Styela clava: one gene and its partner. The protein of the gene in region 2 purifies or fractionates together with the protein of the main gene of each other region. This does not show direct contact. Links are inferred from orthologs where the notes say so. Each region holds a gene or a part of one and is shown on either strand. Other genes may lie near its edges.

What was found. The genes of interacting proteins can lie anywhere in the genome.
Region 1: the proteins of selenoprotein S-like (region 2) and derlin-1-like purify together in Homo sapiens (affinity purification with western blotting; 6 studies listed by BioGRID and IntAct, with this or other methods). This does not show direct contact. The link is inferred for Styela clava from reciprocal best matches to the Homo sapiens genes SELENOS and DERL1.

The regions. Positions count from the first base shown.
Region 1 is NC_135262.1:19,155,543-19,163,564, forward strand, and holds the start of derlin-1-like, read left to right. Parts: upstream 1-5,016; 5' UTR 5,017-5,130; coding exon 5,131-5,189; intron 5,190-5,779; coding exon 5,780-5,879; intron 5,880-5,971; coding exon 5,972-6,083; intron 6,084-6,382; coding exon 6,383-6,447; intron 6,448-6,920; coding exon 6,921-6,947; intron 6,948-7,124; coding exon 7,125-7,220; intron 7,221-7,462; coding exon 7,463-7,515; intron 7,516-7,595; coding exon 7,596-7,706; intron 7,707-7,952; coding exon 7,953-8,022. Other genes in the region: putative E3 ubiquitin-protein ligase MGRN1, read left to right, coding at 132-197, 360-425, 698-804, 1,096-1,149; SUMO-activating enzyme subunit 1-like, read right to left, coding at 2,711-3,751; splicing factor 3B subunit 5-like, read right to left, coding at 4,566-4,826. UniProt on the Homo sapiens protein: Functional component of endoplasmic reticulum-associated degradation (ERAD) for misfolded lumenal proteins. Forms homotetramers which encircle a large channel traversing the endoplasmic reticulum (ER) membrane.
Region 2 is NC_135253.1:20,574,074-20,582,001, forward strand, and holds the start of selenoprotein S-like, read left to right. Parts: upstream 1-4,915; 5' UTR 4,916-5,275; coding exon 5,276-5,387; intron 5,388-5,834; coding exon 5,835-5,972; intron 5,973-6,703; coding exon 6,704-6,810; intron 6,811-7,928. UniProt on the Homo sapiens protein: Involved in the degradation process of misfolded endoplasmic reticulum (ER) luminal proteins. Participates in the transfer of misfolded proteins from the ER to the cytosol, where they are destroyed by the proteasome in a ubiquitin-dependent manner.

The DNA of each region.
Region 1 (8,022 bases), on a different chromosome or scaffold from region 2:
TGGCCACAACGCCGTAATTTTTTTACCAATCATAATTTAATTTTGTGCTTTTGAATGGTTTTTATTACCATTGGATAATTTTGCAAATAAAAATAAAATAAAAATGTTGTCTACATTTCACTTTATTCAAGAAAATGAAGACCAGCAAGAACATGAAGAGAATTCAGAGCATGAATATGCTGAAATCGGTCTTTCAGGTGAATATCTGGCTTGTCCCATATTGTCAGGAATATCTTATCCATCTATGTGTAATAAAATTGGGCATGAAAAAATAAGTCACTTCTGTTTATTGGAGTACTGTCTTAGAATATTCTATACAAGAATCATGCAATGATTGTAACGTTTGATAATTTTTTAAGCAAATGAAGACCAACAAGAACATGAAGAGACTCCAGAGCATGACTATACTGAAATCAGTCTTTCAGGTGAATATCTGGCTCGTCCCATTTTATCAGGAACATTTTTGTTTGCTTATACCAATAAATATGCACATTATTTAAAATATTTTACAGCAAGTTGTTTTTGGTGAATTGATTTGATAAAGCGAGGGATATTACTTCTTACCCATGTGTAATAATATTGGATATGAATAAGCCATTGCTATTAATAATAATGAAGTGATAAAGCATATTGTAGAATATTTTATACTCCGTACGAAGAATGCACTCTCAGCGAGAAAATTTTTACCAACATATAGGTGTATCGAATACTGAAGAAATTGGCACAGAAAGTACTGAAAGCCAGAAAAGTATAGAAGAACATTTGCCTGAATCTGAAGAAAAAGGAGGTACTGCATCAGAGCAGGTAAATTTTGAAGCGAGTATTGTTAGTGATATACAAAAAAACTTCGGCTAATTAATCTACCCCGCAAACAAGACAAAGCCTATTTTTAGCAATAAAAAAGAGGACTTTTCCATATAGTCCTCCAGTAAGACTAAATCATGTTTGAGAAGACGAAAAATAAGCCGACCTCAGAAAAAATAAAATCAGCTGGGAAATACGGCATGTATGGGAAGAAAATTTGGGTAACCTTCTCTTCTTGTGGATAATGAGAAGTACTTGCTAACCACTAATTAATCACTTTTATTCTGTCAGCCATCCAGTTCCATGGAATACCAAATCAATAAGGACGGAAGCATTGAAATTTGATAGTTTTAGAATACACTGAGAGTCTCAGCAAATTGGAATATACTTTTGTTCGCCTATATTTGGATGGAACATACCGTAGTGTGCTCTATCTGTTACCCATTTGTAATTTATATATCATACTTTTCATTATTTGTGTGATTGTGTTCACTTTTATGCACTTATTTGTATATAAAACATTTTTGACTTCTCTCCTTTTCCTGGCAGATGTTGTCACCACTCACCAGATTTAAACATTATGGTTATACTCTATTTTCTGTTATAAATGGCCAGGTATATCAGTCTTGACTACCCAGGCTTACCCTAATGTCTGGTTGAAGCATACTGCATGTATGAACATTGAAAAACCTGGCTTTTCATATATTTTCTCCTTTACATCTACATTTTTTTTCTCGTCTCTCTGCATACAATCAAATATTTTATTATCTTTTCAATATTGAGACAATTGTTTGTATATTTGTTCAAATTCAAGATGAAATCGTATTTTATTAACGTATGTATACATGTGTGTTGGAAATTTTATTCCGTTTGTTGGCCCAGTATGTATGAAAATCCTAAATATAATGCCATTAGAATGCTACAAGGTTTGTGGAGTCCAGAGCATACATAACAAGGATTGTCCAGGTACCTTAACGAGTTTTTTGACCGGTCAATAGACTAAACGATTAATGCAGGTAAGCTATATAGACCATGATTGGGTTATCTATTTTATATGTAAACGATGTCTCTTTTAAATTAGTTTTGAACTGGTTATAAATCAATTGATTTAGGGCAGTGGTGTGCAACCAAATTCGCCTACAATGAAAAAAAGTGTGCGGCCCACGATGGAGCGCTAATTTTTGATAATGTCCGGCCCATGAATTTTCAATTTAGTTAAATCTGGTTCGTGCCATTAATTTCAAACTCTTAGCGTTTTAAGCCTAAACCCGAGTCCAATTAATTTATCTATGGCACAACCATTTTCGTGTTTTAACTACTAGAAAGCCTTTGTTAATCAAAGGTACTCTACATACAGCCTGTGGTTTCACCCAGATATTTGTATCTGGCCCTCCTGTATGAATGAATGAAATTTAGAGTGTAAAAGCCCCCCTTTCAAATTAAAAAATGATTCTATTCCAAGATAACCCGCAATAGCTTAGTTGACATTCGAATGCACTCATTCGCTATTTTATTCTACTTTCTTCACTGTAATTACATCTTTCCAATCAATCAAATAATTTCAGTTTATTGCTTTGGTGTACAGTACAGCAGCTATTTTCTGATGACATTGAATATATATAACATGAAAAAAGAGCTTATTTGGTGTCATTTTCTCTTAGTTATCAGGCTAGGAAAAGGTTATTAAGAATACAAAAATACAAAGTAAAAAACCAGAAAAAAAAATCAAGCCATTCTGCCAACCAAGTGTAGTAGGGATGACTAGAAGAGAACAGATTAGGCACTTGTTCAATTCTGAACAAATGTCTGTGCCCAGCCCTTGTGCTAGTGCTAGTAATTTTAAATTCTATTGTTTTATGTAGTTGCATTTAAACTGCAGAATTATGCTAATGTGAGATTCCATCCGTTATTTAAAAGGTGGACAAATTTGATCTACTATGCCAGCATGACTACGACCATTGTAGAAAAAATAGTTATTATGTGGAGCATCTCGTTGTGATGCAGCTTTTATGATTTCTTGGCCCAATACCCCACCAGTTATCGCACAAATTGGATTCAGTTCGGAAATACAAAATTGAGGAAATTCTTCAGGAATGTAAGTTTCTGAAACATTTGAATCCTTGAGAACCTCATTTCTCAGTTCTAGGAGTAAATTTTGATCTTCTTTGCCGAATGTTGGACTTCGACCCGTCTTTTCCTTGAATTTGTCAATTACTTTAATGATAAAAAAAATATATGATGATTGTCGCATCATTCTCCTTGATCTTGTTGACCAATCCTCAGTTAAAGATTCTTCAAGGCTACAAAATTCATCTGTAACTTTTACAAGAATCTTTTCTTCTTCTTTTTTGCCCTTTTCATCTAGTTTGCTCTTTTTTGCTTCTGGTTCTCCATCAAGATCATACTTTATCTCTTTTTTCACTTCTTCACGCACAAAATCATGCATCCCCAAATCAGCAAAGCAATATCCATAAAATCCGAAAACATCACCACAAAAGAATTTGATTCCAGATGATCTGCATATTAAATTAATTCTTATCCTTTCTTCGAATGGTACCTCCGTTAAACAAACTATATCAAACTCTCGAAAAAAATCATCCGGTTTATCCGAAATTGGCATCTTATCGCATGATACGATTACATTTGGATTGAGCGGCTGTGTTCGGGCCATTGATGCTTCTGCTCTATTTTTTCCCATGTCTAAATGAGTTACAAGAAGCTGAGAACCCATATCAGACTCTGAAACTACTTTGTCATCAAGCATTGTCAAAGCCTTTACACCTGCAAGTACAACATTTTTGACCACCTCAGAAGCAAGTCCACCGATTCCAACAACAAGAACTTTAGCTTGACGAAGACGTTTTTGTGCATCAAGTCCCCACAATCGAATTTGGCGATCATATTGTGCAAACTCCTCGGCAGTAATATCAGCTTCTTTTTCCATCATTACAATGTTGAATATTTGATAGAATTAAGATTTTAAAAGATTACTACCTAAATAAAAAACATTTGCAGTACAATATCATGTTTCAAGAAATGAAGTCGAAGAAAAAATTGACATGAGCATGAATAATATATCGTTCGAATTAGGTGAGACAAGAGAAATGACAAAAATAAAGTTGTTTCAAAAAAAGTTTCCCTGCCTGATCGGGGCTACATTTTGATAAAATAACTCAAAATGAATTGTTTTTAAAGCTGTGCTTAGTGGAGTTGTACTGACAAGAATTACTGATTTGATTCAATCCATTTCAACAATTAAAACATGACAAATTTATAAAACAGGATGGCTTCAAAATTGAAAATTTCGAAACACATTCATCTATAAACGCAAGCCACGATGGATAGATAGCCACAATTATTTAACCTATTACAATAGAAAATATTAGGAACATATCTCTATTTGTAAATCATTTTAATTCTGTAATTATGGACCTACATTTATTAGCAGTTTGGATATGAAAAATAATACTTGATTGAATAAAATAGTTTAATTTCATATGGACTTCTTGTCTAGAGCTTTATTCATAGTGAAATCAAATTAATTTCATCAAGATAGTAATATCATTTCAAATTAAATACAAAGCATTGCAGTATTTCCTGTGAAATATTTCAGTTTTAAACTTCTCAAACAACTAAATATTAAAACTAGTAAGAACATGGCAGTTCATGCTTCATAACACTAGTCAATTTTGAGGTGGGTATGACATGTGTCTCAGATCTGCAGATGTCAGTTTCCAAGCGCTTTCCAATTAAATCACACTTCAATCAACATTTGGACGATCAGGAGGTGGTCCACAAGGTTGGAACATTCTTTCTAACACATTAAATCGAACTCGAGCTCTTGTTTCGTTTTCCGCAATAGCAATGTGACTTAGAAGATCCGGGTGACCAATGTAAGAAGCAAGACTATCACGATGTTGATTTGTCAACCATTCCCATTTTGTAGTGTCAGAGTGTCCAGTACCGACATATTTCGACTGCAAATGCTCCATTTGAGAAAATATATTATATCGATCCCCCATTTTGATTGATATTTTGTCTCTGTACACTCACGAAATACTTATTCTCACTACAAACAACCACCAAATGCCAAAAGAAACCCAAAGTACGGTAATCCTTCCTGGATCTGATCACAAGGTGGTGCACATGTGTCTGTCAATATATTTGTCAAGTCATACTACGTCATTATATCTACATTATTGTGCATAATTTGAGACACGTCTGCAAAGAAGAACTTGTTGTTTGCTGGTTTTTAAAGTTTTCATTGATATTTTGTCAGTTTGTCGTGAGTATTAGGTGTAGTTTTATAATAAGGGATATTCAAAGATGGCGTCTAATGATATTGGAGACTGGTATCGTGGAATACCGAGAATAACTCGTTATTGGTAAGTTACCGGTACGTAAATTTTTTTACCAACTGACTGTAGTTACACTCCAATCAGACAATACAGGTAGGCTACACAGGTACAGTTTACACACAGTCTTTGGGTCCAACAGTCAGGTATTCATTATATAGTACTGTGCCTATCTACCAGTACCTAGCTTCATACCTCATGTACTTCCAACATCGGCGCGGCGGTGTGGCTCAATGGGTTAAGCATTAGGAATACGCTCGCCACCGCACCTCTAATTACTCTGCGTGGGTTCGCATCCCATGCAGAGATGGTTATGTGCGAGAGGATTGCTGGACTCCTCGCCGTCGTTGGGTGGTTCACGTAACCGCTGGTCGGTTACGGCTTCCTCCACCACCAAGTCCATGCTTCCGAAAACAAACAATACAGTATAACTAACTAATCCCATACCCGACTTGGAATGGGACTCTCGTCTAACCGGACGAGAGGCCGTGGTTTGCCATATGGATAAGCCGTCTTATCGGCTTTCCTCTCCCCCGGGATAAATATGTAAATCCTATCCTATCCACTGTAGTACTGATGTTCTGTAATATACCATTATTTTACACACATTCTCTTTTCAGGTTCAGTGCATCAGTTGTAGTTCCACTTGTGGCCAAATTTAACATTATTAATGGAATGCATTTGATCTTGGATTGGTACAGTTTATTCAGTAGATTTCAGGTAATTTGTTATATATTTTAATACTAATTTTTGATGTATAGAAATGTTAAAATATTGACCATAATTATACTTTCTTTCACTCCTTGTTTCAGATATGGCGTCCATTCACTGCTGCTGTTTATTACCCAATAACACCGATGACTGGTTTTCATTATCTCATTATGTTATATTTTTTGTACAGTTATTCAACAAGACTTGAAACTGGTGATTAATTTTCTTACCTAATTTTTTATTACACATCATAATAATCCTTGTTCATCATCTCAATTGTTTTTAGCAGAGGTCACATTTTATATTGCTTTATAAATAATGTTTATTATGACTATTTCTTTTTGGTTCATCCTGGTATATCTTGGTATTACCATTTTGTCGTCTGCTACCAGAAATTATGAAATTAATATTTTAGTTTTATATTTTATCACATGGGAGAGGAAAGCCGATTGGATGACTTAATCACACACGCATTCTTTCTATATTTAATTCATTTATACATTTACATACAGGTATATTTGAAGGGAGACCTGCAGACTATGTTTTCATGCTTGCTTTCACATGGCTTACTACAGTGGTAGGAACTATTTTCATGAATGTAGCCTTGCTCTATACCTGATTGTAGTTGTTGAAATTATAGTAGTAGCCTAACCTTCTTACATTTCTCAAAGCATGAATCGTAAGTGATCTACTTGGCCAAGTATTGAATCACTTTTCGGTTCTGTTCAAATTTACCATATTTCTTATATTCGACAATCGCAATTTATGATGACTGAGTAGTCAATTTATTCTCAAAAAAAGTTGAAAATATCATGTTCCTTATTATTAGGATTTATGCATTCAAATTTTATTGATTATTCAATGTTTCTATGTTTTACATTTTTGGCTTTATTCATGAAAAATTTTAATACATATAAATTCTTGACTTTTTCATTCAAACTTGAAAATTATAATAACTTATTACATTTCATAGGAGCAAATTAAGCCATGCATTTTTTTCATTCTGCCCATCTGAATTAATTTAACCATACCTGTTTTTTTTTAATTCAGGGATTGGCATTGGCTCTGGAAATCAGGGTAAGTTAATTTAATTATGCTTTCATCATTTCAATATGCTTAAAATATCTAGAAGACTAAGACTCACATACTCAGTTTTGGAGTTCATCAAAGTAATCCAACATTATAATGTCACCAGTGCTGAGCATTTATAAGCACGTTAAAAATGATTTTCATTACTTATATATTTATTTTTAGATCATGTTTGATTTACTCATTTTCTCTGCTTTGTACGTTTGGTGTCAAATAAATCGCGATCAAATTGTATCATTCTGGTTTGGAACCAGGTTTAAGGTGAGTTTATTTGTAGAAATTTAGACAATTATAATTGTGTATTGAGTGTCTATTTCATGTTCTGTAAATTTATGATTTCATTCTGACTAAAGATTTTCACACTGTATTCACATAATTTGTACCACTTAAATGTAAATATGCCAATAATATTAAATTGTGCTGTTTGCCTCAAAGCGGCACCATTTTTATACTTGTGGGATAGAATTGCTAGGAGTACTGTAAAAATTTACTCTATTTTCCAGGCCGCTTACTTACCATGGGTTTTGTTTGCATTCAACATGATTATCAGAGGAGGGTAAGTTCTGAATTTTTCATTTCAACTATATTCAAATACTAATTGGTCATACAGAGATATTACATCATTTTGCATTACAGAGGAATGTCGGAACTACTTGGTATATTTGTTGGTCATCTTTACTTCTTTTTGAAATTTAAATATCCTCAAGATTTTGGTGGAAGAGCATTATTGGAAACACCTCAGTTTTTGTGAGTAATGTTTGTTTGTTACGAACATTTGGATGCATTGTCGTCTACCATTTTTATTATCAACTTTTAATGCTTGTGGAATTAAGATTTAAAAATTAGCAGTGTATGAAAAAGGGTATCAGAAATCAGAAACACAAAACGAGTGCAGAATGAATAGTATAACTTGCAGCGAATGATCAATAACTTTTTTTCATTTTTTTGCCACTCTTTATATGACTAAATTGCTAATCTTATTTTATTTACTAGATATAAATACTTTCCCAACATGCGAGGTGCTGTATCAGGGTTTGGTGTTGCACCACAGTCTCGACGTGCT
Region 2 (7,928 bases):
ATTTTACCAAGGAATCATTATTTGACTAGTAGAATTGCCATTATTGCCGATTTATTGAAAAAATATTTAAACTCCAAATAACTGTGGCGTACCAAAATTGATATCACCACGCAGGTTCTTTCTGCCAGCTTATTGGACACTGAAGTTGCACTAGATGTCAATCACGAAATAATCTTCTTGCGGTTCCAATTACAGCAGAGTAACTAAGTTAACTAACTAGATTAATTATACACCTGTAAGAACTTAATACAACCAAATACTCCAATAAGAAATACAATAAACAAATAAAAACACAGTACAAATACCGTAGGATACATACGTAACACAAGATACGGAATTGGTCTATGACGTCACAGTCATGAACTATTTACTTATAATGGGATACAAAAACCGGGTAAAACATACCTAGATATACATAAGAATAACTAGTATGACACTAAAGATACAACACAAATCCTACCTTAGCGACAAACACGTAATATACATGGAAATACGCATAGACATATGGAAATCACACAGGAAATAAACTGCGAAAATAGACTAGTTACGGAAGTTTTAAATACAAGTTAACTAGTGAACAGAGCTATGCCAAACTGGTGAAATAGTAAACCTGTACTACTAATATCATTTTGCAACAATAATTACACAAATTACCGGCAATAAAACGCTATAACAATAACCTAATACACAGAGAAATATCTACACTGCCGGCAGTCTGACAAACCAAGTGAAAGAGAAAGTTACACAGTTGCTCACTAGTGACTCAAGTGGTAAGAATAAATATGGGCATACAGAATAAAACAGAGTTATAGACGTGGTCGTCTCATAACATTAAAATTCATGCAATGACTTTGCCGGGTTTTCATTCAATATTTAATACGAAAATAAAAAAGGCACAATAAAAAAATAAAGTCATAAGAAGGTCAACTATTTTCTTCATAGATATCCGCATTCCGGCATTAGAAATGGTAATTTTGTTAGCTTGAAATTGGGAAGCGCGTGATGGGCGATGCGTTCGAAGATCTCGTAGTACCCGTGCGGCCGCGCATGTTTAACAATAATTTGAGGTGCTCCGAAGGCGCTCTCGTGTACCCTATTGTAAGATAACTCTTATAATATTGGTAACTATTAACCATGTTTTCAGGCTCGACTATCGCACTTTTCCGAAATGATAATTTTGTAAGACGGGGACAATCGGGTTTCTTTCCTCTATTCTGATATTCTTTGGTTTTCATTATTTTATAGCAAAATATAAGATGGGAACTGGAACTGAATTGGAGTCGGGATCGAAATTGTTTACAACTCAGAGACCAGTGAAAATGTTTTTAGGTCACATACGTCTTGGACTAAAACTTGGAAAACCGGACAAACAGGATTGAATACAGACTAGCTTTTATATCTTTTATACATTGGAGCTGCTTCGATAAAAATTGCGTTGATCACTTGTAACACGTGATTGAAATAAGGGACTTCGAGGAAACAGAAATAATCGACTTAGCTGCCGACACTGGATTGGTCAGTAAATTCATGCGAGAGAAACAATTCATAGGAACAATCGATGTTCAACACAACAAGATGGAAGCTCCGGAATGTTGGACATTGCAAAGAATAAAAACATTTACTCCAATTTCTACGAATTCGAACCAATTTTGCAACAAGAGAAGCAACGCCCGAAACTAGTTTTCGTGTTTTTATGTTTGTTGTTTACTTTTTAGTTTTATTTGTTTACAAAAAACAGCAGCTAATCAATTAAATATTATTATTGGTTTTCGCATTTCGGCACAGGCACCGTCACATAACTTCTAAATGTTTTTGTATTTATCACGACTTTCACTCATCAAAATATTTACAACATGACAAGTAAGCTTTGCCCGTGAAATTTATTTTCTCGTGATTATGTACTCTGTTCTTTAATTTATTCTAGTATGATTGTCTTGGTGTGTTTCACGTGTGTGAATGTGGGTGAATGGGCATAATCGCTGGTTACAGCGTTCGTTATAAACCTTTATATAGGTTTTGCCCACTTTCCCGATCTTTCAGTTGACCTTGTCTGTGTTCTTTTTATTTGTGTTGTAGACGAAAGATCGAAATAAAATTGTATTGTATTGTATTGTAAAATGGCTTTATGAGTAAAAAAGATTTTTGTTTTGTGATATGTGTTCCGCGAATATTTGAAGAGCTCGTTAGTGTGCCGCGATAAATAAAATGTTGGTAACCACTGCTGTATATGAATATCTGACTATTGCATTCTGTCGCAGTGAATGTACCACACACGTTTCAGTCTTTTCAAGTAGCCACGTCCGCATCCGACGACGGTCCGAACAAAAAAAAAACGATTTCCTCAAAAATCAAATCGGGACGAATCATCTAAGCCAGGGGTCGGCAACCTTTTGTCGCTCGCAGGCCAAAATTAAAGGTTGCAAGTCATTGGCGGGTCGCACATATTTTAAAAAAGTTGAAAACCAAACGGATGATACTTTTTATAATAAAAATCAAGCAGTGATACATCTATCGAATAGAATATAGATTTATTTCCTCACTGCATTTCATGAAATTACATTTGAATATTTTCGGCGCCATTGAAGCCTTTGCACTTAGCATCAATTTTTCTGCGTTTTGTTGCCATTTGTCTAATTATAATTAATTAAATTATATGCTCATTAAACTAGTAGTAGTGAATTATATACTTGTTAGGTTATAATACAATTTAGTCTAAAGAATATAATTGTCAAAACGGCTGTTTCGTAACTATAATTCAGTGAATATATTGGTCGTAGGTTGCCGACCCCTAATCTAAGCTCTCAACAAGCGACATTGCGCTTAGATCCAAGATCTATATCTTCACCGAATACAAGCACGCAACGATCAACAGTTGTTACAGTAGGTATCCGAAATTTAAGTTACTTTTATATTACTTACATCCGGAAAAAAGTCCTTCTAGGACACCCATGGTCATTTCTGTTACAGTCGCAAGCTTGCGAATTTTATTTCAGGTTTAGGCTGTTGATAAACGAGAACGATGCATTTCTTATTTTTAACGTCCACTCCGGATTTCAGAACTCGGAGTTATCTGGAACTCCAGACACTCCACCAAACCGCTGATTGACGTTTCTGATTCTTGACGTGTCTCTCAGCAAGTGCTTGAGGAATGAAGCGCGTTGTGGTTTATGTTTTTCTTGTTAGTGTATCACTGTTTCATATATAAACCTGCCTTTAACAAACTGATTAGTTCGATCTGAATATAAAATTCCCACTGGCAGACTGGTGTTGAAATTCAATCTGAGTATAAAAGAGGATGAATGGTATTCATAAAAGCTAGGTAGCCTACGGTAGCCGGTACCGGTAGCGTCCAGCGCGAGTTTGCATTTCAGCTTTTTTTTTAATTTAGGCGGTACGGTACCGATTTACCGTACCTTATTTCATTATTCGGCGAGGGACCTGCCTAATTGTAGGTTGTGTAGAATTTCATTTCGCACCCGTTTTTGTTTTTTCAAAAGCTGAAATGACTGACTTAATCATGAATAATTTCAGACCTATTCATGTTTGGTGTTATTCAGTTATTCAAGCAGTCCCAGTGGTAACTTAGTATATTCATTTATGCCAGAGTGGTATCTGATTTTATGTTTTCATTGATTACTACATTATCAGGTTTTAGTCTCTAAAAGTTCATAATAATAGAATATAAAGATGACAAAAATCGAAACTTGGGAAGAGTTTGCAAAAGCTGCTGAAAGACTTTATCAAAGTGATCCCTTCAATGTCAGATACTCAATAAAATACAGACACTGCAACGGAAATCTTGTGATCACAGTAACAGACGATCAAATAAGACTGCAGTATGAAACAGAACATGCTAACGATGTAAAAAAGATTGAAAAATTAACAGCAAATTTTTTAAGGATGATGGTGCACTAAATTGATACCTTATTTGGTCGAGTTTGCTGGTGATTGATTGGCATTTTTTAATTGGAGATTTATTGCTTATCATTTTTGAAGCACTATTGGATAAGAGTGTTGTAAGACAATATTAGAATCAGAGCGTTAAACTGTTGTTATTAATGCGCTAATGTACGTTTCTTGTTTAGTATAATTCTGAACAGTCGAATTGGACTTGGCAATGCTGCTTATTCTGCTCACACATCGTTGCGTTTGTTTTACAATTCTGTCTTGGTGGCATTAGACCGTTTGTATGTGCATTTTTTTCTTTGCAGATTATATGTTTCATGAAATCGAAAAAAGACTGATGTTCTTGATAGCTTAATACTTTATTTGGAAAAAGTTATTAATTGAAATATTAGTAATTATATTCCTATTACAATATATTTTCTGATATTTCTTTTTTTCGACCAATTTATGTCAATGCGTGCCTTTTCGATATTCTAAATTTAAAACAATTGTTAATTTGTTTTATGTTTATGAATCAATTTCTGTGGGACAGGATGTATGTGTCATTAAATGTGTGATAAAACTGCTTGCATCGCTGCAAAGTTTTTTAACGACCACATTCAGAGTTTTTTTCGATATGCAAGATTAACTAGCTTATACAACTATATTGTCAATTTTGTGGGATATATTTTAGATAAGATTTGTTGCCTTAAATAAAAATGTACGTTCATGAAGACTAAATTTTTTTTTCGAATGCAAACGGAATTTTTCGATATCATATGATTTGTTTATTTGGTGCTCCCGAAGTATGCGAACCAAGATGGCGGACATCGGAACGTAACATGGGTAACAGGTTAGGGTTAAGCGATAATTTTTTTCCAATTTTCCTTATTTTAGTCCTATTATCAGTTTGAAGACTAGCCAAGAGCCTCCCGTAGTATTTATACCTAAAATTATGGCCTAACCCTAACATAGTACTCATATTACATTCCGATGTCCGCCATCTTGGTTCGCATACTTCGGGAGCCCCGTTTATTTAAATTATGAGCGGACTTTATGAACGCTCTCTGTACTGGATATCTTGTTTTGGATTTGTGATGTGCATGATGGAACTTTGTCTTTATTTTATGTTGGTTTAGAACTGTTTTATGTTGAAATAAGTAATATGTGTAAATTTGAATTTTAGTTTGTTTCGCAATGTAGTGCATAAATCTTTTCTTAGTCCTAAAAATGATGCCCAGATGAGCATGATTGAACTTATATCATTATTGTTATTATTTTTGCTGATTTGATTAAGGAAGGATTTTAGTAATGAATTGACTGAATATTTTGTGTAATTTGATTTTCAGTTGAATTATATATTGTATAAATATTAATTTTTGGCCTAAGAATGGCCGCTGAGGTGGAGGATGCAACTGTGGAAGTAGAAGATGAATTTGTGGAGGAACAAATTGATCTGAAAAATATTAATCCCAATGTGATGATGGCTTCTTACTATGCAGGTGAGTAATGTGATGTTGCAGTATGATTTTGTTGGCTTCAAAGCCACATGATAGTATGATAACGTAGGTAAAGAAGTTATTAAATTATACGTGGATTGCTCAGATATGAAAATTAATTCCAAACAGCAGTCTGACTTAGAAGAAACCTTGTCGAACGGTTTTCAATGCATGGATCAAAAATTATATTTTTTGGAGGTGGACTTATTGCATATTTTTCACAAGTCTCATAATTCTTGGTTGGTAGTTTTGATCCACTTATATCAGGGCTGAGACGATTTCTGGTACCCCATATTTTGGGCAAAATATGCAAAACATGGATTTGCATCATCAAAAAACGTTTGTAATACGGCAAATCTTTTAATAGTTTAAAGAGGTAGCAGTGTTGAACACCTCTTATAAATTTGTACCATCATTTTGAAAATAATAATTTTCACTTTTTGTATTTAGTAACATCATTTCTTGCCACATATGGATGGACTCTCATGGTAATTGCTGTTCTACTTATAATATTATGGAGTAACATTGAGAAAAAAGTCAAGAAAATGATTGAAAGAGCAAAAGAACGAAATGATCCCGTGGAAAATGGTAAGTCGACTTGCAATATTAAAAATGATCTTGTATAATATAGAACAGCGTTTTTCAAACTTTTTTGGCCCCGGAGCGTATTTTATCTTGCCTCGCGGAACGCCAAGAAATTAGAAAATAAAATTAATGGATAGTTTTCAAATAATTTATTCTATGTTGAAATTAAAATGTTTGCTGTTAATTTGACTCTTAGAAAGTCAACCATATTGAATGGTTAATGAAAACTCCATGATTTTTAGACTGGCGCTAGGCCTATCTGCCTTTTTAGATAGCAGGGCCCTTTCCGCCTTTTTGGAGGCAAATTTACTATCCAGAGTTGCCGAAATGAAACCGAGTTTGGCATGACGACCAATTAAGTCGCAATTTCGATTCCTGTTCCACGGAACGCTTCGAAGAAGCTCTCAGAACGCAGTCAGAGAAGCGCTGATATAGAATATTACAAGAGAAATTTCTTTAATTGAGGTCACTCAAACTCACTCAAATGTGAAAGAAACACAACATATTAGACAAGTTACAGGCGGCCATCGAGATACGAGTAGCTACTGATACTATATTTGAGATGCATTGTGCCGATTGACCTATGGTGACGCCTTTTTTTACTTGAGAAACCCGAATATTATAAAGATTTCACAATCATGCATGGAGACTATAGAATATTTCAAAGAAGGTTGTGTAGCTCCCTATTAAAAACTATATTCTTCAATTATTTCAAATATTTTTTTGCTACTTAGATCCTGAAGTTCTGGCTAAAAGAGCTGAAGCAATGGAACTTGCCAGACAAAGAATGCAGGAAAAAGCATCTGCAATTCTAAGAAGGGAGGCAGAGAGAAGGCAAGAGGTGGATAAATTTTATTGTTCATTCCTTAGTATAATATTGATGATCGATTCATATTGCCAGTCAAATAATTATGCTTGAATTAGTAGCAATTTCTAAGTACAGGGAGTCCACGACTTACGATGTTGTTCCGTTCTCGAGACGCGGTGTAACCCCAATTTCAGTGTAAGTCTGAACATTATACTGTACATTGCATAAATTACTCTACACATATCGTACTGTATTGTAAAGCATGGTACTGTAATTAAATGTACAAATAATGCAGAAAAGTGCTTTATTAAAAAATACAGAAAACAATTTCATATCCCATGAATAAAAGCAAATACTGTACAGTACAGTATCATTTTTTATATTTTTAATGGCATGGTTTGTAACCTCGGAACAGCATTATGGAGTGCGCATTCGCAACCTCGAAACAGCGTAAGTCGCGAATGTCGTAACCCGAGACCTCCCTGTATGGGGATTTAACAGACTTCTTTTCAGAATCCTTTCTTTTTAATTTGTAAACATTTTGGAGTTTTGAAATAAACTGCTGCCCATTGCTCGAAAAAACTCGATTTATTTTATTTGGCATTTATTTATCTTTTTCCTTGATTGAGAGGCCTTAGTAGTCCATGATTAAGTCAACATAATAGGTTTTCTTCTCCGTTGCTACTTCCCATTGCTTGAGACAACTCAAAATTGCATTCACCAGTGTATTTTGTGTATTGAGAGGCCATGATTAAGCCCACACAATGGTTTTCTGCACCATAAATTTGGATTTCTTTGTAAGCTTGCTAATTTGTGTATATTATGCTAGTGCAGTTGATTAAAAGTAGAGATAGATATATTTTATAAGGTACCATCACCATATGAATTGCCATGATGGTGGAACAATATTGGTATTGGGATGCCAAATAGATAGTAGGTTTTCTTTCAGAGCTGTATTAGGCCTTGGTTTTGCCCTTATAGAATTTGCTACCAACCATCTAAGCCGGCTCATTAACAGGCGCTCCAAAACTTTGTGTACCAATTTGGGGGTACTGGTAACTACGGTAATTTTGTTGGCCTATTTTATATAATATTGTGTAAAGGGACTGAAACCTATGGGCAGGGGGTATATTCACTTGGCTAACACACAC